2 linked regions of the Lonchura striata genome follow. The protein of the gene in region 1 interacts with the protein of each later gene in a biochemical or structural test. Links are inferred from orthologs where the notes say so. Each region holds a gene or a part of one and is shown on either strand. Other genes may lie near its edges.

Region 1 (11,342 bases):
CTGGGGTGGCCCTGGGGTGGCCCTGGAGGTGGCCCTGACAGTGACCCTAAAGGTGGCCCTGATGGTGGCCCTGATGGTGACCCTGACCATTGCCCTGATGGTGGCCCTGATGGTGGCCCTGATGGTGGCCCTGCTGTGCCCTGTTGGTGGCCCTGGCAGTGGCCTTGGTGGTGGCTCTGGAGGTGGCCCTGGCAGTGGTATTGGTGATGGCCCTGCTGGTGGCCATGGTGGTGGCCCTGCTGTGGCCCCAGTGGTGGCCCTGACAGTGGCCTTGTTGGTGGCCCTGCTGGTGGCCTGGCAGTGGCCCTGGCAGTGGTATTGGTGGTGGCCCTGCTGTGGCCCCAGTGGTGGCCCTGCTGGTGGCCCTGGCAGTGGCCTTGTTGGTGGCCCTGCTGGTGGCCTGGCAGTGGTGTTGGTGGTGGCCCCGCCGTGCCCTGACGCCGCCCGTGCCCTGTCCCCTGTCCCCTGTCCCCTGTCCGCAGCTGGAGCTGTTCCTGGCGCAGCGGCTGCAGGAGCTGGAGGCCGAGGCCGACGTGGTGGCCATGAGCCAGCTGCAGCTGGCCCCGGCCGCGCTGCAGGGCCAGAGCCGCGGGCGGCTGCGGGCGCAGCTGGCCACCGCGCAGGACCTGCTGCGCCAGCTCTGCTCCCGCAGCGTGCAGCACCTCTGCATGATCCTCGCCTCGCCCAGGTGCTGGGACTGCCCCGAAGGGACACACTGCCCCAAAACGGTTCTAAACAGCCCCAAAACGGCCCTAAACAGCCCCAAACTGCCCCAAACTGCCCTGAAACAGCCCCAAAACTGCCCCGAAACAGTCCTAAACTGCCCCAAACGGCCCCAAACTACCCCAAAACAGCCCCAAAACATCCTTAAACAGCCCCGAAATGGCCCTAAACGGCCCTAAACTGCCCCAAAACGGCCTTAAACTGCCCCAAACAGCCGCGTGCTGTCCCCGCTGTCCTGTATCCCCATTGTCCCCCTCCCCGTGGTGACCCATGCTGTCCCGTGTCCCTGCTGTTCCCTGCCCTGCAGCGACTTCTGTCCCATGTCCCCTGCCCCGCAGTGAGCCCTTTCCCGTGTCCCGTGTCCCCCGCCCCACGGTGACCCCGGTGCTGTCCCCTGTCCCATGTCCTGTGTCCCTCTCCCCGTGCTGTCCCGGGTCCCCTCCCCACAGTGACCACTGTCCCCTGTCACCTGTCCCGTGTCCCGTGTCCCTCTCCCCGTGCTGTCCCGTGTCCCATGTCTCCTCCCCATGATGTCCCCTGTCCCCTCCCCACAGTGACCGCTGTCCCCTGTCCCGTGTCCCGTGTCCCGTGTCCCCTCCCCGCGGTGACCGCTGTCCCCTGTCCCGTGTCCCCTGTCCCGTGTCCCGTGTCCCCTCCCCACAGTGACCCTCCTGCTGTCCCGTGTCGCAGGTACGTGGAGCGGGTGGCTGCGCTGCTGCGGCGGCAGCTGCTGCAGGCCGAGCTGCTGCAGGCCAAGCGAGCGGCGCTGGGCCAGCGGCGCCGCCAGGCCCTGGCCGAGCAGGCGGCCCTGGAGCCGCGGCTGCAGCGGCTGCAGGAGAGCAGCCGGGAGCTGCAGCGCCTGGTGAGGGACCCCCGAGAGCCCCCCGAGACTCCCGAAAACCCCTGAGCCCCCCTAAACTCTCCAAGCCCCCCCAAGCAACCCCTGAGCCCCCCAAGAGCCCCCGAAACCCCCTGATCCCCCTGAGCCCTTTCAGAGCCCCAAGAGCCCCCCTGAGCTCCCCCAAGCCCCCCTGAGCCTCCCGAGCCCCCCAAGAACCCCCCGAGCCCCCCTGAGCACCCCCCGGTGCCGTTGCAGATTGAGGCCGACATCTCCAAGCGCTACGGGGGGCGCCCGGTGAACCTGATGGGCGTCAACGTGTGACACTGGGACACCTGGGGACATCGGAGTGGCACCTGTGACACCGGGGGACATCGGCCTGTGACACCTGGGGACATCGGAGTGGCACCTGTGACACCGGGGGACATCGGCCTGTGACACCTGGGGACATCGGAGTGGGACACTGTGACACTTTGGGACATCAATTTAACACCTGGGGACATCAGAGTGTGACACTGGGGACATCAGCCTGGGACCCCCAGGGGACACCAGCCTGTGCCTGTGGCCCCTGATGCCACGGGGGGTCCCCAGGGTGCTGCGCCCATCCCAGCCCCCCCTGCCCACCCGGGGGTGCCGCGGGGTTTGGGGGTGTCGCCGAATAAACCCAAATTTGGTGGCACATCGAGTGGGCTTGTGGCGGGGACAGGGATGGAACAGGGACAGGGACAGGGGACGGGGATGGGGGCAGGGAAAGGGACAGGGACAGGGATGGGACAGGGGGGTGGGGGCCAGACCCGGAGCGGGGCTCGGGGCCACCGGCCCCGCTCCTTTGGGTGCCCCGGGGGGGTCCCATTTCCCAGCAGAGCGGGCGGTGCGTGGGCGCTGTCGCCGGCGCTGGCGGTCCCCGGGCGCGGTGGCACCGGGACCCCGCGATCACCCCAGACCCCCCCTAAACCCCCCCAAACTGGGCCGGACTGGGATAAACTGGGACAAACTGGGCCGGACTGGGCGGGGCTGCTGCGACCAGTGACGTCACCCTCTGACCACGCCCCCTCCGGCAGATGATTGGCTGGTGTCGCGATAGCCCCGCCACATTTCAGGCGTCCCGGCCGCTGATTGGTCCGGCTCTGCTGTGGCACCGCCCCCAGGCGGGGCTGGGAGTTCTCAATGGGGCTGGGGGGTCCCAATGGGTGTTTTGGGGCGCTGTGGGGTGTTTTGGGGCTCTGTGAGGTGGTTTGGGGTGTTTTGGGGCGTTCTGGGGTGTTTTGGGGCGCTGTGGGGTCGCTGTCTCCCCCGCCAGCCCCTTTTTCCCCGTCTTTGTCCCCGTGTCACCCGCGGGGCCTTCGCGCCCCCCCCCCCCCCCCCCCATTCTCCTCCTCCTCCTCCTCCTCCTCTTTGTTCTCGGGCCCGGGGGGACACCGAGGCGACACGGAGCCCCCCGGGCATGGGGATACCCAGGAGGGGGCTGCGCTGGGTTTTGGGGGGCGCTCCGTGCCCTGAACCCCCCCCCCCTCCCCAGCCCCGGCCGGCTCCGCTTTGGGGATCCCCAGGGGAAGGGGAACCCCCTGTGATTGAGGGGGGGCGCTACAATGGGGAGTCCCCAAAAGGGAAGGGGGTTCGTAGGGGTGGAGTTTTGGGGGGTCTCGGGCACCGGGGGTCCCGGTTTGGGGGCTCAGGGCGGGGCCCCGGAGACGGTGGTCCCGGTTTGGGGGGTCAGGGCGGGGTCCCGGATTGGGGGGTCCCGGTTTGGGGGCTCAGGGCGGGGCCCCGGAGACGGTGGTCCCGGTTTGGGGGGTCAGGGCGGGGTCCCATGCGCTGCCGCGGAGCCGCCGGCAGGTGGCGCTGCAGGACCGCGAATGCGCGAAGGGGCGTGGCATAGGGGCGGGGGCAATGTAGGAACGGGCGTGGTCAAATACCTTATTAGGTTGTTCGTACGTGTGTAATGGGCGGGGCTATGCAAATAAATCCGGTGTCGCAGGGGGCTCTGGGAAAGAGCCGCGGCGTTGGGGCCGCGGCGTTGGGGGGCGAAGCGGGGGCGGATTTTGGGGTCCCGGGGGGATTTTGGGGTGCCAAGAGCGCATTTTGGGGTGCCATGGGAGCGTGGGGGGCCCTGGACAGGCCGTGCCAGCTCGGGGGCCTCTGTAGAGTTGGGGTTACCCCCCGAGAATGGGCCAAAACCCGGGTGGGCGGGGGTCCCAAAAAGGGGTGATCCCAATGTGGGGAGGGGTCTGTGGGGTTGGGGGTCCCAAAAAGGGGTGATCCCAACGTTGGGGTGTCCTCAGGATGGTTGTCCCAAGGTTTGGGGGGTCTGTAGGGAACATCCATGGGGAGTGGGGGGTCCCAGCCCCACGGGACCCCTGTGCTGGCCCCACGGAAGTGATCACTCCCTAAGGATTGGGATTTAACAACAAAGCCCCATAAATATCCCAAAAACCCGCCCCGGTAAGGAGGGAAAGAGTCGGGTCCGCCCCGACACCGGATTGGGCAGGAAAATCTTTAATTGTAGCTGGATCCAGCTGGGAAGGACAAACTTCATTAGTGCCTAATTAATCCCTGGATATCATCAACGCTGGGGGAGGATCCCAGACCTGGGAAGGAGCTCCTGGATCCATCCCAAACAATCCCAGTGCCTGCTCCCATTCCCTGAGCTCTCCCAGCCTGGAATTTTCTGGTGGCTCACCCAAATTTTGCCTTGTTTGGGAAAATTTTTGCTTTAATTTTGGGGCTGGAGCGTTTTCCTGGGAGGAAAAAGCAGGGAAGGGGCTCGGTGCCCGCCTCAGTGGCACGAGGTGGGCACGGGGACAGGGCCAGCTGTCCCCAAACAGCGCTGGGGACACTAAAAATAACCCGGGAGGGACAGCCCGGCTCGGGTTCCCGGCTGGAAACTGCCCCGGGCAGGCACGGGAGGGTTTGGGGGGGCTCCCAGACACCCCCTGTTCCAACCCTGGGGGGAATTTAGGGTGGAAAACAGCCCCAAAATCCAACCCTGGGGGGGTTTCAGGGTGGAAAACACCCCCAGAATCCAAACCAGGGGAGTTCAGTGGGAAAGCAGCTCCAAATCTCCATCCCAGGGGGGCTTAGGATGGAAAATACCCCAAAAATCCAACCTTGGGTGGGTTCAGGGTGGAAAACACCCCCAAATCTTCAACCTGCTGGGGCAAGAGCCCCAAAATCCAACCCAGGATGGGTTTAGGGTGGGTAACACCTCCGAAATCCACCCCAGGGTGGGTTTAGGGTGGAAAACACCCCCAAAATCCAACCCTGGGGGGGTTCAGGGTGGAAAATAGCCCCAAAATCCACCCAGAGAATCTCCGGGATCTGGGCACTTCCAACCTCTCCAGCACCTTCCCTTGTCTCCCTGGATCTCTGTAGGTTTTTGGGGGGCACAAAGAGGCTGGGAAACGCCTGGGAGAAGCTGGCCAGGCTCGCCCTGCCGCGAGGTGTGGATCCCACGCCGCTTTCTCCGTGTTTGTTTTGTTTCCCCGGGATGAAGCAGCGCCCGTGGCATCCCGTGTGTCCCGGCAGGTTTGTGGGGCAGGGAAGGAATGGCAGGATCGGGGCGGTGCTGCCAGGGCCTGCCAGCTGCTGGCACGGTGTGGGCAGGGATTGCACAGGGAGCAGGGATGGGCAGGAATCCTCTGTAGATCCATGTGGGAATGGGAGAAAGGGCAGGGATTGCACAGGGAGCAGGGATGGGCAGGAATCCCACAGGGATCTGCGTGGGAAGGGGCAGGAATCCTCTGTGGATCCATGGGGGAATGGGAGGAGGGGCAGGAATCCCACATGGAGCAGGGATGGGCAGCAATCCTGTGTGGATCCATGTGGGAAGGGGAAAAGGGGCAGGAATTCCATGTGGATCTGTGTGGGAAGGGCAAGAATCCCACAGGGATCTGTGTGGGAAGGGGAGAAGGGGCAGGAATCCCACAGGGATCCCATGTAGATCCATGTGGGAATGGGTGAAGGGGCAGGAATTCCATGTGGATCCATGTGGGAATGGGTGAAGGGGCAGGAATTCCATGTGGATCCATGTGGGAAGGGCAAGAATCCCACAGGAATCTGTGTGGGAATGGGAAAAGGGGCAGGAATCTCAGACAGATCCATGTGGGAAGGGCAGGAATCCCATGTGGATCCATGTGGGCAGGAATCCCACAGGGGTTGGTGTGGGAAGGGGCAGGAATCTCACCCAGATCCATCTGGGAAGGGGAGGAATCCCACAGGAATCTGTGTGGGAATGGGAGACGGGGCAGGAATCCCACAGGGATCCGTGAGGGAAGGGGCAGAAATCCTGCATGGAGAAAGGGAGGGCAGGAATCCCATGTGGATCCATGTGGGAAGGGAAGAAGTGGCAGTAATTCTGTGTGGATCCATGCGAGAATGCCCGCGCCATAAAGAACAAAACACCGCTCCCTGTGTGCCCCGGGGGATCAGCCCCGAATCTCCCCGCGGGGACGGGGGAGGCTCCCAGCAGCACCACCCAGGGCTGTAAGGGCGCCGGGAGCTCCCGCGGGCAGCCGGGCTGAGGCGGCGGCCGGGCAGCGGCTGCGGCCCTCAGCGCGCCGGGGCCGCCATGGCGGCCTCACCCCGCCCGTTGCCACGGCAACCGCTGCGGGGGCAAAGCGATTGGTGCGCGCCGCTGCCATTCAAATTCTCTGCGTCGTCTCATTGGTTGATATCGCTGTCACTCAGTAGGGGTTATACGCGCCATTGGGTGGGCGCGCTGTCACTCAAGCACGCAGCGGGGCGAGCCGCGCTTCCCCGCTTCTGATTCTCCATTGGCTCGGCCGCGCCGAGCGCGACGGCCGCCCGCGCCTTCTCGCGCGCCCATTGGTCAGTTCGCCTGCCAATCAAAGCGCCGCCGGGGAGGCGGGAGGCACTCCCAGCCGCTCGCTTCCCATTGGTCCGCGCCGCGCTCTCACCTCCCCTCGGCGGGCGGTGATTGGCGGCGGGGCGGGGGGGGCGGTTGGGCCGGGGCGGGGAGCGGGAGCGGCGGCGGCGGCGGGGCCGGAGCGGCGGCGGCGGAGCCCGGCGGGTACCGGAATCTGTGGCGGAGGGTGCGGGGAGGCGGCGTGCGGAGGTGGCGGCGGCGGCGACGGCGCGCTTGGGGCGGGGCCGGCCGCGCTCTGAGGGGGGACGGCGAGGCCGCGGGAGCGCGCGCGCGGGTGGGGCGGGGTCACGTGGCCGCACCTGGAAAAGGGGGGGGGGGGTGCGAGGTCACGTGGGGCCTTAAAGGGCCCCGGTACCGGGAACGGGAACGGGGCGCGCACGTGGCTCCCCCCCACTGGGGACCCCCAAAAAAACCGGGGACACCCCCCCTATACACACACACCCCCTCAAAAATCCGGGAGCCGCCAGCTCGGCATCCCCCGGCTGCGGGCGCGCACGGCGGGAGCCGCCCCGGTGGGACCGGGAGCGTTCCCGGTTTTCCGTGGAAAAGCCCCGGCGCGGCTGGAAGCACGGCAAGGCGGAAAGGCGGGCGGATTCCTTGGGCCGGCGGGAAGTTGACGCAGCTGCCTAAGAATAGCTCGGGCAGCGGAGGGAGCCCGGGGCGGGCAGGGCACCGGGAATCGCGGCGCGATTCCCGGGATTCGGCGGGGGAAGGCCGGCGGGGTGGCGCCCCGCTGGTACCGAGCTTGCTCTGTGGTTGCGTTGCAGCTGCTGATGAAATCGCAGCCGGGAGCGTCGCAGGCTTTGGACCTTCCCAGGCTCGGGACCTTTGACTCATAAAAGGAGCAGAAAAGGGCGGAAAGCGCCGGGAGAGCGGAGGAGGAGGAGGAGGAGCAGGAGCTGAGGAGGAAGAGCAGAGCCCGGAGCTGCGGGGGACACCGAAAGTCGCTGCATGAGGAGCTTTGGGACAGTAAGTCAACAGGGAATCGGGGATTCCAACTCTCCGCCCGGCATAAAAACAAAAGTCAAGGCGAGGGTGGAGCTGCCGGGGCAGCTCCCTCCTTTAAACTCTGATTATCTCCGCTTCTCCGCGCTCCAATTTCCTGATTTTTGCACAGGAAAACCGAGCTTCGTTGAACTAAAAACCTTTTGAGCGTTCTTTAAACTTTTCTCCCGGTTTTTAGCTGTGCCCTGAAGGGCAGAAACTGTTTGAAAGTGGGGCAGAGCAAAGCCAAACCCACCCAACCTGTTGTGGAGGCTGCGCCTTCCCTCGTTCTCCATCCCCAACCTCACTCTTTATTTTTTATTGACTTTATTTTGTTTTCCCCTCCACCAGAGATTCTCTTTCCAAAGAAACATTTTACAGAAGGCCTGATCCAGCTCACCATCCTGTTTCCCTCACTCTCCATCCCCAACCTCAGACTTTGTTGTGTTTTTAATTAATTTTATTTTGTTTCCTCTGCCCCAGAGTTGCTCTCCCTGAAGAAATACTTCCAGCTCACCATCCTGCTCAGCCTCACTCGCCATCCCCAGACTTCGGTTTTTATTCACTTTTATTTTGTTTCCTCTCCCCCAGAGATGCTCTCCTGATCCAGCTCACCATGTTGCTCAGCCTGTTTGTCCATCCCCAACCTTTGTGATTTTTTGTTATTAATTTTATTTTGTTTTTCTGTCTCTGAAGAAACTTCAGGGAAGGCCTGATCCAGTTCGCCATCCTGTCTCCCTCACTCTCCATCCCCAACCCCAACCTTTGTTGTGTTTTTTATTCCCTTTATTTTGTTTTTCCTTCTCCAGACAGAGATGCTGTCCCTGGAGAAACATGTCAGGGAAGGCCTGATCCAGCTCACCATCCTGCTCAGTCTCATTGTCCATCCCCAGACTTTGGTTTTTATTCACTTTATTTTGTTTCCTCCCGTAGAGATGCTGTCCCTGAAGAAGTACTTCATGGAAGGCCTGATCCAGCTTACCATCCTGCTCAGTCTTGTTTCCCATCCCCAACTTTTGTTTTTTATTCACTTTATTTTGTTTCCTCCTGCAGAGATGCTGTCCCTGAAGAAGTACTTCCAGTTCACCATCCTGCTCAGTCTCGCTATCCATTCTCAATATTTGTGGGTTTTTTTATTCACTTTATTTTGTTTCCTCCCCAGAGATGCTGTCCCTGAAGAAACACTTCACAGAGGGCCTGATCCAGTTCACCATATTGCTCAATCTCACTGTCCATCCCCAGACTTTGTTTTTTATTCACTGTATTTTGTTTCCCTCCCCAGAGATGCTGTCCCTGAAGAAGTACTTCCAGTTCACCATCCTGCTCAGTCTTGTTTCCCATCCCCAACCTTTGTTTTTTATTTGCTTTATTTTGTTTCCTCCCCAGCGATGCTGTCCCTGAAGAAGTACTTCCAGTTCACCATCCTGCTCAGTGTCACTATCCATTCTCAATATTTGTGGGTTTTTTTATTCACTGTATTTTGTTTCCTCCCCAGAGATGCTGTCCCTGAAGAAGTACTTCACGGAGGGCCTGATCCAGTTCACCATCCTGCTCAGTCTCACTATCCATTCTCAATATTTGTGGGTTTTTTTATTCACTGTATTTTGTTTCCTCCCCAGAGATGCTGTCCCTGAAGAAGTACTTCCAGTTCACCATCCTGCTCAATCTCACTGTCCATCCCCACACTTTGTTTTTTATTCACTGTATTTTGTTTCCCTCCCCAGCGATGCTGAGCCTGAAGAAGTACTTCCAGTTCACCATCCTGCTCAGTCTCACTATCCATTCTCAATATTTGTGGGTTTTTTTATTCACTGTATTTTGTTTCCTCCCCAGAGATGCTGTCCCTGAAGAAGTACTTCACGGAGGGCCTGATCCAGTTCACCATCCTGCTGAGCCTGGTGGGCGTGCGCGTGGACGTGGACACGTACCTGGGCTCGCAGCTGCCGCCGCTGCGGGAGATCATCCTGGGCCAGAGCTCGGCCTACACGCAGACGCAGTTCCACCGCCTGCGCGGGCCCTGGGCCGGCCATGGGCTGCCCCCCAAGAGCGCGGGGCTGGAGGGGCTGCCGGGCGCCCGCCGCCTGCTCAGCCTGGACCGGCTGCGCGTGCCCCGCGCCCGCGTCAGCGCCTGGCTGGTGCACCGCGACGCCGAGGCCGCCGTGCCCGCCGGGCAGCCCGGCGCGGCCGGCCCGCTGCAGGACGGCTCCGGCGGCGACGGCGGCGCCCGCGACGGCGCGCCCGAGCAGGGCTTCGGGGAGGAGATGGAGGATCTGGGAGCCGTGGCGGCGCCCGGCAACGGGGATCTCACCAAGGAGGTAGGGAGCACGGGGTCTGGGGGTTTGGGGGGAGGGAGGTGGGGAACGGGGGTTTGGGGGGTTTGCAGGGAGGTTCTGGGGTGGGTTTGGGGGTTGTGTTTGATGGTGCAATGCTGGATTGTGGTCGTGGAGAGAGGTGTCGGTGCTCATCCATGGCCTTGGGTCCTTCCAGGTGTATGGAATGGGGGTGTCAGTGCTCAGCTATGGCACTAGGTCCTTCCAGGTGTATGGAATGGGGGTGTCAGTGCTCATCCATGGCCTTGGGTCCTTCCAGGTGTATGGAATGGGGGTGTCAGTGCTCATCTATGGCCTTGGGTCCTTCCAGGTGTATGGAATGGGGGTGTCAGTGCTCATCCATGGCCTTGGGTCCTTCCAGGTGTATGGAATGGGGGTGTCAGTGCTCATCCATGGCCTTGGGTCCTTCCAGGTGTATGGAATGGGGGTGTCAGTGCTCATCCATGGCACCAGGTCCTTCCAGGTGTATGGAATGGGGGTGTCAGTGCTCAGCTATGGCACTAGGTCCTTCCAGGTGTATGGAATGGGGGTGTCAGTGCTCATCCATGGCCTTGGGTCCTTCCAGGTGTATGGAATGGGGGTGTCAGTGCTCATCCATGGCCTTGGGTCCTTCCAGGTGTATGAAATGGGGGTGTCAGTGCTCATCTATGGCACTAGGTCCTTCCAGGTGTATGGAATGGGGGTGTTGGTGCTGATCTATGGCCCCAGGTCCTTCCAGGGTCATGGAGAAAGGATGTTGATGCTGATCCATGGCCTTGCGTCCTTCCAGGGTCATGGAGAAAGGGTGTCGGTGCTGATCCATGGCCTTGGGTCCTTCCAGGGGTATGGAATGGGGGTGTCGGTGCTGATCCAGGGCCTTGGGTCCTTCTAGGGGTATGGAATGGGGGTGTCAGTGCTGATCCATGGCCCCAGGTCCTTCCAGGGGTATGGAGAGAGGGTGTCAGTGCTGATACATGTATTTGGGTCCTTTCAGGGACATAGAGAAACGTTGTCGGTGCTGATCCAGGGCCTTGGGTCCTTCCAGGTGTATGGAATGGGGGTGTCAGTGCTGGATCGGGGCTGGTATCAGGAATTCTGGGGTGCTTTTCCCTTTTTCTCTGCCCTGTTCTGGCTCCAGTGCTGGATCGGGGCAGGTGTCAGTAATTCTGGGGTAGTTCCGGGGCACTTTTCCCATTTTCTCTGCCCTGTTCTGGCTCCAGGGGAGCAGTGGAAGGAGGGGGAAGGAGCTGGGGGCCCCTCGTGACTCTGGGGATTGGGAAAGAGCAATCCAGCTGGGAAATCAACAGCAGCGTTGGGAAACAGCCCTGGCCCAGGTGTGGAGCAGGTGGTTGGGCTGGAGCCCGGCCAGGAGCTGGGCCTCCCTCAGTTCTCCTCCCAAAATTCAGTTCCTCCCCCAGTTCTCCTCCCAAAATTCAGTTCCACCCCCAGTTCTCCTCCCAAAGTTCAGTTCCTCCCCCAGTTTTCCTCCCAAAGTTCAGTTCCTCTCCCATTTTTCCTCCCAAAGTTCAGGTCCTCAATTTTCCTCCCCAGAATTCAGTTCCTCCCAAAGTTCAGTTCCTCCCTCACTTTTCCACCCCAGAAT
Region 2 (11,574 bases), on another chromosome or scaffold:
GGTTCAGGCGCTGAGATGCACCACCTGGAAGAGTAATGAAATAAAGCCTTTGGAAGTGACCGAAAATTAGGGTTCCCAGCCCCCAGGAAGAAAGCCTTCCTCGGGCCACTCCTCCACCCTTCTCTCAGCCACACTGCACAGATTTTCTTTGGGTAGAAAACCAAAATCTCACAGTCTGTCCCCAGGGCACCTGAGGATTACAGACTGCTGGGTGGAAAGCTCTGTCTGCACAGGACAAGGGATGCATCACCACTGCTCATACCAATCTGGACACAACAAAACAAACTGGAGCGATCAGCAGGCCAATCCTGGGCCAAGTCAAAGGAAGCCAGACCCATGTGGGGAGGGCTTGTGCTTTGGGGATTCCAGGCTGGTTTTGTGCCTAACTGCCCTGCACAGACAAGCTCAGGCAACGCTCGCTTCACTAAGACCGGGCGTCCGTTTTGGATTTCACTATTGTGATGACACTAGTAGTAGCAACCTTGCCAGGGACGAGGGGCCCCATACTGGAAGCGAGAGGCCCCCGTGCAGGGGTCACGGGACTCCGGGCCACGGTTCTGGCGAAGTTCTGGAGAGCCTCATATTTGGAGCGGAGAGCATCAAGTTCCATTTTCATGCTGGCATTCTCTGAGGCTAGCTTCTCCACTTCTTGCTGCAGCTCTGCCTTCTGCTTCTCCAGTTCCTCCTTCTGGGTAACGCGCTTCACTCTGCAGCTGGCCGCGTAACCCCGGTTCTTCAGTGTGCGCCGACGCTGCTTCAGCTGGATGATCTCCTCCTTCGACAGACCCCGCAGATGCTGGTTCAGCTCTCGCACAGACATGGTCACCAGCTCCTCGTCTGTCAAGCTGGTCCCATTCTCACCTGGCTCTCTCTTCACCTGGGAGAGAAGGCAGCACGCACTTGTGAAACCTGAGGTGGATGCCTACACCCATCCCTGCACCCCTTTCCTCCACCCACCACATTACCTTCAAGGCCTTGCTTCCTTTGTTGGGGGTCGTCATAACACGACAGCCTTGTCAGCTGGGTTCTGGAAGGGAAGGAAGGCCAAATTAGCACCTGGGACATAGCAGAGCCCACGGCATTCCTCTGGCAGGGTCCAGCAGCAACGCCTTGTGGTGCTCCACATCCTGGCCCCTGCCATGGAAGACAATCAAAAGCAGCCAGCTGAGCTGGACTCACAATGAGCAGAAACTGCTGCCCTTTCACACCTCTGCTCCCATGGAGACTGTGGCAATGCTGGGTTTTGTTTATGGTGGGGGAAATTAAAGAACTAGGAGGAATCAGAATACATGGAAGCCACATTTTTAAAAATAGCCTTGCAAGCAGCAGGCAGGGTCCAGAGCATGGCTGCTCCAGGCCAGTCACGCTGACTCAGCAGGCTGGCACTCTGCTCCACTCACTCCCAGCCTCATCCTTGTCACTCCCAAGCAGGTCAGGTTACCTTAACGTACCCTTCCAACAGGTGCCCAGCCCTAGAGCTCTCCAGATGCTCCCAAGGATGGTTCAATAAGACATAACCCTGAGCAAGGGGTACAGGGCAAGCCATGGACACACTGGAATTCCAACACAAATTTAGGCTGATGCCTCAGCAGCCTCCACCTCTCCCAGTCATGCAAAACTGACTCCAGTTGTAGGTATTTTCTATGAGAAAGTACCTGTCAATTCCTGGCATGCCAGGGCCAGAAACACCTTCTTCCTCCTTATCCTAAGAGTCAAGGTGTGCTCACAAGAAAACAAAGATTAAACATACCAAAACTCAGAGCAGACTCCTTCCCTGCCATGGAAGACAAGACTTCAGAACTGGTAAGAGCAATTCCCAGGCCTGCTTTAAAGAGACTTATACCTGGGCTCCTGCTTCTTTCCCCACATATCTCCTCTGTGCAGGCTTTTCAGTTCAGACTGCTACTACACTGCCCAAGGAATTGATCCACACAGATAGCACCTGACAGACATGGCTGTATCTCAAACACCCCAAAGTGCACTTCCCTCTCAGCCCAGACTGCGCCCACTCAGCCCTGGCCAGAATTCCTGTGCAGCCTACAGGTACCCCTGACCCTTTCATCTTGCAGGTGTCAAACAACAATTTTGTCTGCCCCTGCCTTACTCCCAGCAGGACTGATGTCAAGTTACAGACCAGAACCAAATGCACACATCAGCAAATATGACTTAGTGCTCTTTCAGCAGCTGTGGCACAGGCTCCCTACAGTGCAACTACACCCTACTGGAGGTGAGCAGGACTAGCAGTCCCCAGAACACCAGCAGAGATATTCTGAAGCCTGCAGCCTGCCAGGAGCCAGGCTATTTATATATACCTAGAGGACAATGCTCCTTCCAACAAGATGTCTGCTACACCCAACCACACTGGCATAGGCACGGTCATTTACTGCCCAAGGAAGGCAGCTGCAGTGAGGCAGGACAGGCAGCATAAAAGCAACTGCTGCACAAAATCAATTCTTCCCTCCTTCCTAGACTGCTCTTTATTCCTTCTGTTCCTATCTGGTAAACAACATGTCTGCTAGGAAAAGGGGAGAGGAAAGGGAATAGCTGGAGACACCAATGTGCATGCCCCTGCAGCACTTGCGTTCCCTGTCCTCTTTCAAGTGGAAGGAGTCAAGGATAGGTATGGTCAGTGCAACCACAGGAATTTGCTCACTCTGTGGCACTAAAGAATTTGCAGCTACCTGGTAAGCACACAGGCTACCTTCATTACAGCAGACCCAAAATGGAACAAACAGGGCACATGCATGCTGCATCAGGCAGGGCACTGGGAAGAGCGCTCCTCAGCAGGCTGGGGAATGGCTGGTGCTGGCAAAGCTAGACACAGCAGAGGCAGCTACTCCTTCCTGCCCCTGCACACTCTAGCACAACACCCTCTCAGGTAGGAGCCTCTCACAACAGTCATCAGAGCTGCAACAGATTGTCCCCAAAAACCTGGTGATCCCACCTCTCCAAGGTGCAGAAACATGTAGGGCAGTCAGTAGAATGGAAAGAACAACCCAAAGAGTTTCCTGGGTCCTGTTTTAACTGGGCTGTTTGGCAACTCACAAGGAGGACATCCAGAGAACTGGCAAAATAGCAGAGACCAAACTTCGCCTTATTCTCCAGACTGCTGATGGATCAGCTTTTGATAGCTTCCTGAAGAAAGATCACACTGAAAAGTGCCAAATACTATGGCTGCAATGAAGAAACTGCAGCCTTGACACATTTCCCCAGTGCTCAAAAGGCCTGAACTCAGCACAAGCACAGCCAATTCTCCCCTCAGCTAGTGGCAGCACATGGGAACTGAAAGCACCACGCATGATCCACCATGGGCCCTTCTCCGCACTCCTGATGCAGAACCCTGCCACAAGCCCCATGTAAACATGGTGATGTCACCTGCTCCAGCGCGGGCAGAGTGAGGGCTGCGCTCCCACACGGGCTCCATGGCTCTGGCAGGCACAGGAGTGTGATTTGTCAGCAGCGAAAGGGGACACAGCACAGAAACACTCTCTTCCAGTGTGAATTTCATACTCTGTTTATTTGCTTGCTGGCAAATTGGCTCACACAGTCTCATCCAACGACTCCCCAAATTACCTGTGTAGCCAAGATAGTGCCTCCTCTGTTTCCTTGGCGAGGTCATCCAACCCTGAGCAATTTTTTCCTCAAGGAATCTGCCCACCCGGCTGGTTTTAACTCTGCTCACACTGCTAAAGCAAAGGGCCAGCTCTGAGAGACTCCCTCCCACCCTTGGCAGTGCCCTCCTCCGATCACACAGTTCACATATCCCGGGCAGCCAGAGACGTGCCCAGCTCGGAACAGCACGACCGAGGCGTGCACAGCACAGACGCACGCAGCCCCTCCGTGCCGGTCGCACACAGCATTCCCGCGGGAGTGGAAACCCACTCCACCGGGGGGACACTGCAGCGCCCAGCACCGGGCAGCCCCTACGGACCAGAACCTCCCACCCGCACGTCTGCAGCTACCGAGGACAAGGTACCGACAGCAGGCAGCGGGGCTGTGCTGCCTGACTCTGCCCTGGGAACCGGGCGAGACGCCCCGATGGCTCCTCACCCTCCCGGCCCTCCCGTTCTCTGGAGAAGAACGACAGACCACGGCGAACACCCGCGGGGCTGGGGGCGGCAGCCCGGCGGGAGAGGGGGACGCGAGGCCCCGCCGGGGGCCTGAGCGCCCGAAGGTGCGGCGGGGTTAAGAGGGGCAGGTTCGGCCTGAGGGCAGCCGGTCTGTAACCCGACCGGGGCATTCGACACCCGCGGGAGGGAGGGGCCGGATGCGCCCGCGATGCCTGCGGGCGGACCCGGGAGGCGGTGGGCAGGGCCGGGGCAGGCCCCGGGCCAGCGCCCCGCGCACCTGTTGCTCGGCCGCCGAGCGGGGCCCGGACACGCCGGGGCGGGGCGGGGCGGGGCGGGGGCCGGGCGGCGCCGGGCCGGCGCGACCCCAAAGCCCCGCTGTGAGTCAGCGGTGGCGGCCCCGTTGGGCAACTGCCGACCCCGCAGCGGCCCCGGCCACCATCCCGGGGCCCGCCGTGCCCGCCCCGCCCCGGCCCGCCCCCGGGGACCGGCCCGCCCCACCCCGGCCGGTGCCAAGGCCGCGCCCGCTCTCGCTGCCGGTGGCGCTCACCTCCTGCCGGGGCCGCCGGGCCAGGCCAGGCCGGGCGGGGCAGGGAGGCCGCGCTGGGAGGGACCGGGACTCACGAGCCGCCGCCGCCGCCGCTCACCGACTCGTCACGTGATATTTGGGTCACGTGGCTCCATTCATGAAGCGCCCGGCGCAACCGCCCCGGGCCTTAAGGGGGCCGCGCTCCCCGGGGGCAGCGGGGGGAACGCGGCCCGACCGGGACTGGCCCGACCGGGACCGGCCCCGGCCCGACCGGGACCGGCCCGGCGCCCGCTCCGCGCCCTGCCGGCGCCTCCCGCCGCCGCAGTCGACTTCCCGTCCCGGGGCGAGCGCTGCCGCTCCGGCAAAGTACTGGGTCGGCCGCGGATCAGCTTCCGCCGTCTCTGACAGCAGCCACCGGCCTCCTGCGCTCTCCCCCGTGGCACGTCGCGCGTTTCATAGCGCGCAGTCCCTCCGCCCGCACCGGCAGGGCCCTCGGCACCGGCGGCTCCGCGCTCCCTTTGAGCTGCGCCCGCGGTCCCTCGGAGCCCGGCTCCGTGTGCGGCGGGCCCCGCCTGCAGCGGTAGGGCCGGGACCACCACTGCTCCGAAACGCCGCTTTCCCAGTCACGCCGGGCTCGCTCCAGGTGTGTTCCCGGCCCTCCTGATACGATTCGGGTCCACGACACTCACACTGGTGCCTACTGTTTGATGCCATGCTACAGGCCAAGAAGGGAGGACAACATGAGCATACCAGAGAAGGGCGAGGGGCCAGTGGAAAGTCCAGCAATGAAAGCGGGCACAAGGGGTTAAGGAGAAACTGTGCCCCGTAGGAGCAGCAGGGGCTCGGCTGGGCCCGGATCCAGCAGCAGCTGCTCTGTGCACAGGGGATGTGACCGCACGCCTTGCAACGCCTCTTGTAGCCCCTGATGGGCTGGGTTTCCATCCGCTCTGGTGCCCACCTCAGTTACAGGTCTATAACGATCTAGGAAGTTCATCTACAGCTGTGTCTCTGGGAGTACCCAGGGGCACCCCCTTAATCTCCTGGCAGAGGGGGTCAAGTTCAGGCATCCATTCATTCTGCATCCCACTTTTTCAGCCAAGTGAGAACTCTTTCCACAACACTTCCTTGCATTTTGCATCAGGCAGTACTTTATCCGTCTGACCTCCAGCCTGGCCTGTCAGCACAGGTATTACAGATCCTGAGCAGGAAACCGAGGAACATATGAGACCCAAGGACTCCTGACCTAGTGGCCACTGCCAGTGGCAAGGGATACCCCCAGTCAAAGCAGTTGGGATTAGCCACAGCTCTCATCAGAGACACAGTTTTTTATGTAAAGAGGGAAGAGGAGTAACCATCTGTCATACCTATAGGGTCATACCTTGCTGGCAGTCAAAAGTCTTAACACTAAAAATACTTTACCGTCACCAGCACCTCAGAGACAGCAGGAAATGTAAAAACTCACTACCCCTCCACCTGCCAAACCACCCAAGGAAGGCCAGCAGTAAAAGAGGGGCAGTGAGAGGTCACAGTTCCCCAAACCAGACTGCGCAGAGAGAATGGGCAGCCGCTGGAGAGAAAAGGAGCACAGTCTGATGTTCATATCTCCCTAAGGGCTGGGAGATCGGACAGAGGCAGTTGGTCTGTTCCAAGAGGTGATTCTGGGCCCAGCCCATGATGCACCATGCAGTATGGACTTTGTGTGGCAGCATCTGCTCCAGCTAGTAACGCCAGCGACAGGACATAAGCTCTGACAGCAGGTGCAAGATGGGGCTAGAGATAATTAAACGTTTGAAACCAAAAGTTCTGAAACATCTTTAAAAATCCTGTTAAAAAAATTTCTGCATGGGACACCACAAACACTGCTTGAGTCCTGGAAGTACCCAAGGCTTCTGGACAAATGATTTCCTTGACAAAGCTCTGATGAGAGCATCACCCCTGCCCAAGAAAACACCATGCCAGGGACAGCTCACCAAGCCCACTACAAGTTAAAGACCCTCTGCTACAGCTGCTGCAAGCCACAAGCCTGGTACAGGGGACACCAACGTGCTGAGTATTTTTCCTTGGACAAAAGAGAAATAACACAGAGAACAATAATGGCTTAGGAATGGTATTCCCTGTACTAGCATTCCCACTGAAATACTCAAACGCTCACTCACTGCCCTCTTGTCCGTCTCCCTCTGTGGTGGGCTGGAGAGGAGAACTGGAGGCACAAAAGGTAAAGATTGTGGTTTGCTACAAGAACAATTTACTGGAAGCAGTAATGAGATAAGAAAACAAATAATAACAGCATCAATATTAAGAAAAGCGTAGAAGAGAGGTGAAGGATTCACACGTGGTTGCTCACCACTACTCGCGTCATGCAACCAGCCAGAAGGGACCCCTTCTTCCCACCCCTCTTCAGCCCCTCTCCCCTGCTTCAAGCCTTCCTCCCCCCCCTTTGCCCACACTTAAGATGCACAGAATAACCAGGGTCCTGGCCACCTATTCCTGGCTACTGCAAAAATTAACCCTGTCCTGGCTGCAACCAGGACATTGACATTCAGCACTGCCAGAATATAGCAGTCTGGTCAGTTCTTCTTGCTCTTGCTGGTGAACAGACTGACTTTGCTAGCAGATGCTACAGACAGAGAAGGAGACTCCAGCTTCACCTTGTCCAGCAATGTTTTCTTTATGGCTGCCGGGGAAATCTTCTCTTGGTCTGCCAAATGCTGCAGCTCCCTGCAATCGGGTAGTGGGAGAGGAAGACAGAAAAAATAAGATGGGGAGAGTGGAGGGGGAAAGTCTTGCAAACTCTTTAGGACTTCCCAGTTGCCCACCTTGTCCGGATACAGGAAGCCTCCACAGCATTGATGAGGAGTGAGCGAAAGCCGCCACTCTCCAGGAAGTGCAGGGCATGGATAGTGGCTCCCCCAGGTGAGCAGACATTGTCCTTCAGCTGACCTGGATGCTGCTCAGATTCTAACAGCATTTTGGCGGCACCCTGTAGCAAGGAAAACACCTGCCAGAGTTCTGAAAGAGGAAGCCACTGTCAGACACTCCTGTTCTCACTGCACAGAGCAGCAACAACACTCACAACAGGCAAACCTAGGCTCCTGCAGGCTGCCAAAACATTTTTCAGAACTGATGAGGCCTGCAAAGGAGCAGAGTTTCCCAGGATCCATCTCCCACAGCACCAGCAGCACCAGCAGAGTGCTGCAGACACTTCCTAGAGCCCCTCACCAGGAACCTGTGTGCATTCAAACCAAATCCATTCTTTAAAGCAGATTCTGTGAGAGGACCAAGATAATTTCAAACTGTGATGTGTAGATTCCTCTGCAAAGAGCAGGCACAGACTCAGATTTGTTATGCAGGAGGTAATACTGACCAGCAAAGCCTGTGCTCCCAGTCGAACTGCCAGCCTGCGGGGAAGGCCCATCTTTACTCCTCCATCTGCAAGAGCATCCAGGGCAGTGAATGCCTGAGACCAGAGAGGAAGAAGGTGACTGAAAGACTGCTCTAGGACTGGTCTTAGGGAAGAGAGAATCCAGGCCTTTAGGACTGTTCTGTGACTCCTATCACTCACAGACTTGACAAAATGCCTCCCTCTTTCATTCATGGCTGCCATGCCAGGCTTCCCTCAAACTATTTCCAGCTCAGGAGTGGAGGGAATGGGAGAAATTCAGCTTCTGCATCATGCAAACTACAGGCCCAAGTTTTGCAACATGGACATGTGGACACTGCACACTGGCTATGGACTTCAGACTCATCTGACTCTTAAAAAAATTTTCCTGCTGCCCCAAACTGAACACCTGGAATACATGTCCCATTGCAAATATGGGTGATGGAGAAAAAAAAAAAATACAAGCTGAAGTTGCACAGATTTTTTAGCAGGCAAGCCAACTGCTCTCCCTAAGACTGGCACTAGCTGATGAAATAGCACATACATACGCAGGGCCACTGCCACTGAGCCCCGTTACAGCATCAATGAGGTCCTCTTCCACCTCGGTGCAGAAGCCCACACTGGCCATCAGTTGTTCCAAAAGCTTCCCATCTTCCACATCCGCATGAGTTCCAGTGGCATAGACTGTAGCACCTTCCCGGACTATCACAGGGGTGTTGGTCATGCACCTGATCACTTTTGGTGTGGGGCAGAAGGTAGAGAGTTTCTTAGGGCAGAAAATCATTGAAGATAGAAAGTAAGAAAAAAAAAAAGAAAGAAGGGAGAAAAATGAGCTTTAGTGCATACTTTTCATCAATGGGCTGTCCAGGAAAGGACCCCCCCCACCAGGGGCAAGAACAACACAAGCAGAAGGAAAAGAGAGACCTGTGTATCTCAAATGTCCTGCTTTGAGTCACAGCAGCCCATCCGTGAACGTGAAGCCTTAGTCAGTACCAGCAAAGCAGGAGCTGGGCAAAATCAGGTTGGAAACAGTATCCCAAAGGCCTCAAACCCACATCAACCCACAGATCTCCAAAACAGCTCCTGCAGACACTTAAGACAAATTCTGCAGAAATTCAGGGGAGATGACCTACTGCTGGTAATAGAAACATAATCGGACAGCACCTCACGTGAGAGAAAAGCTGGATAAAACCTCTAATAGCATTTGCTGATGAAGACAGGCAAAGGTGACCAAAACCAAGTTTTTTGCTGCTGCGTGACTTTAGTCCTGAGTAGCACAAGTACGACAAGTCCGTCCATCGGCTCCGCGGGGTCAGAGGAGTGGAACCAGCTCCCGGCTCGCCCTGCACGGCCCGGTCCCCTCTCACCTTCTCGATGGAGCTGATGGTGACGCCGGCAGCGCAGGAGACCACGATGTGCCGGGCCTCGATGTCGGGGCCCACCTCCTCCAGGATGAAGGGGATAATGGGCGGCTTTACGGCTAGGAAGAGGACATCGCTGCTCTTCACCGTGTCCTTGTTGCTCACCGTGAAGTTCACTCCCATTTTCTGCACAGTGGGGAGAAACGGGACCGCTCAAGCCCGGGATGGCCCGAGAGGGGAGCGCCGCCACCCGGTCCCCGCTACCCGGCCGCACTCACCCGCAGCCCGCTCACGGTGGGCAGGTCAGTGTCCGGGGAGCTCGCCGTGATCTTGTGCGCAGCCAGGACCCCTACGAACGACCCTGAGCGTCAGCCCCGGGACGGGCACCACCCGCCCCGTGTCCTCATGCCCCCATGAAGCCCCCGGCCAGGGCGAAGGCGAACTGCCCCGCGCGCACCTGCCGCGGTGAAGCCGCGGGCCAGGGCGAAGGCGAGCTGCCCCGCGCCGATGAAGCCCACGCTCATGCCGGTGCCCGCCGGTCCCGGCCCGCCAGACCCGGCCGCGCCGCTGCCCACGTGGCCGCGCGCGCACGGAGGCGAGACCGCGCGGCGGGACGTGGGCGCGCAGCCAATCGGCGCGCAGCGGGGCGGGGCAGCGCCGGCGCTCCACCACTCAGCGGGCGGGGGCGGGGCCAGCGGCGCAGCGCTCGCCAGCGATTGGGGCAAGCGGCGGCCGGTGTTGCATCATTCGCCGCCCGCCGCGCCGCCCCGTGCCGGCAGGTGGCGCCCTGCTCCCGCCGGGGCTCACCGCAGCGGCCCTGGGCTCTGGAGACGTCAGGCCGCGTCAAGTGTTCCTGTAAAACCCAGGCGGCACGCAGTGATTTTTTTTCCTAAGTATCATCTTTCCTCACTGGGGTTTCTTTTTATTTGTTCGTTTTTTTTCCTTGTTTCTTTATTGGAAGAAATAAATCTCAATGTTTTTTTCTGTTGATAAATGTTCCTAAACAGTGATCTTTTGTGGATACTGAACACCAGGACTCCAAAAAAGAAGGCAAAAACCTAAACCAAACCATTAACAATTCAGATTTCATGCTGGAATCCTCTGGGTGCTGTCTAGATTGGCTACAGCCACAAGTCCATAATTAATGAACACACATAAATCCTAACATTAGTTTACCAAAAGAGGCTGGGAATGGTTGGTGACTGGGACAACCTGGTTCTTGGGGAGCTACTTGATCATAATCTATTAATTAAAGGGGGAGATACACTCTGGAAATGAAGGGGGTTCGGTGAACTAAATCATGACAGAGCGGGTTGGTAAATTCTGATGAGTAGATATCAGATGTTCTCTGTTCTGGATTGGGCAATCTCATACTTTCCAATGGTTGGGGAATGTTTTAACCACTGAAGCATGAGGTTTTGATTTTTTTATTATTATTATTATTTTTTTCTCCTAAAAGAGAGGATTGTTGTCCACACAATCTTTTTTTGCCATTTTGACCATGTCCACATTTTTTGCTCAGCCTTTGGCTGGCAGATGAGAAAGCTAAATATGAACACACTGTTCTTGGCAATGACTTGTGTTTCCACTCCTCCAGTCAGTGGGATCATGATTTCCATATTAAATTCGCTTTCCCCTTATTGTGAAGATACTCAATTTTGCCCTCATTGTTTCCCAAGTACCAGTTTCTCTTTGCCCCTTTGACCCTAGCTTGTTGTAAGTTGCATCAACTCATAGCATTGTCAGATTTTACCATGTTTCTGCTCTTGCTCCAGCTTGGTGCAAAATCTTCCCAGCATGAAGCCTGGCTCAGCCACATGTTATCAGCCAAGGAGTTTTCCAGCAGCTGCTACTGCCTGAGCCACTGGTAGTATCAACCCTGGGGACAAGCACCCCCAGCCCCCCCAGCTTCCCAGAGCCACCCCAGAGCCTGCAGGATGGGGCTTTCCTCAAACAATGTTCCTGGGCTTGCTGGGTGGAATTTTATAACAAAAAGGCACCTGTTGGGTTTTTAGTGATCTGAAATTAAAAAAAAAAAAAAATAAAAAAATCAAGTGTTAAATAGCTTAATTTGTCCATATTGATGGGTTTAACAGGAATACATCATAAATGCTCAAGGTCTCTAGGTCCCTTTGTATGCAGTGGCTCTTGTAAATTGACTCCTCCAACACACTGACTTGGGAAAGGAAATCCCAACAGTGCATTTTGTTCTTGTACAACCCATAATTTGTTTGGGTG

What was found.
Region 2: the proteins of NFE2L1 (region 1) and MAFG form a complex in vitro, tested with the Homo sapiens proteins (2 studies listed by BioGRID and IntAct, with this or other methods). The link is inferred for Lonchura striata from reciprocal best matches to the Homo sapiens genes NFE2L1 and MAFG.

Annotation. Positions count from the first base shown.
Region 1 is NC_134627.1:8,343,520-8,354,861, reverse strand, and holds the start of NFE2L1 (endoplasmic reticulum membrane sensor NFE2L1), read left to right. Parts: upstream 1-6,520; 5' UTR 6,521-6,590; exon of another isoform or gene 6,591-6,635; intron 6,636-7,213; 5' UTR 7,214-7,415; intron 7,416-9,263; 5' UTR 9,264-9,265; coding exon 9,266-9,745; intron 9,746-11,342. Other genes in the region: CDK5RAP3 (CDK5 regulatory subunit-associated protein 3), read left to right, coding at 483-688, 1,414-1,585, 1,820-1,885.
Region 2 is NC_134621.1:11,959,297-11,970,870, forward strand, and holds the start of MAFG (transcription factor MafG), read right to left. Parts: upstream 4,755-11,574; 5' UTR 4,618-4,754; intron 3,715-4,617; exon of another isoform or gene 3,574-3,714; intron 1,028-3,573; 5' UTR 1,002-1,027; coding exon 966-1,001; intron 878-965; coding exon 425-877; 3' UTR 1-424. Other genes in the region: PYCR1 (pyrroline-5-carboxylate reductase 1, mitochondrial), read right to left, coding at 7,164-7,314, 7,413-7,576, 7,961-8,053, 8,520-8,741, 9,343-9,522, 9,615-9,685, 9,794-9,860. UniProt on the Homo sapiens protein: Since they lack a putative transactivation domain, the small Mafs behave as transcriptional repressors when they dimerize among themselves.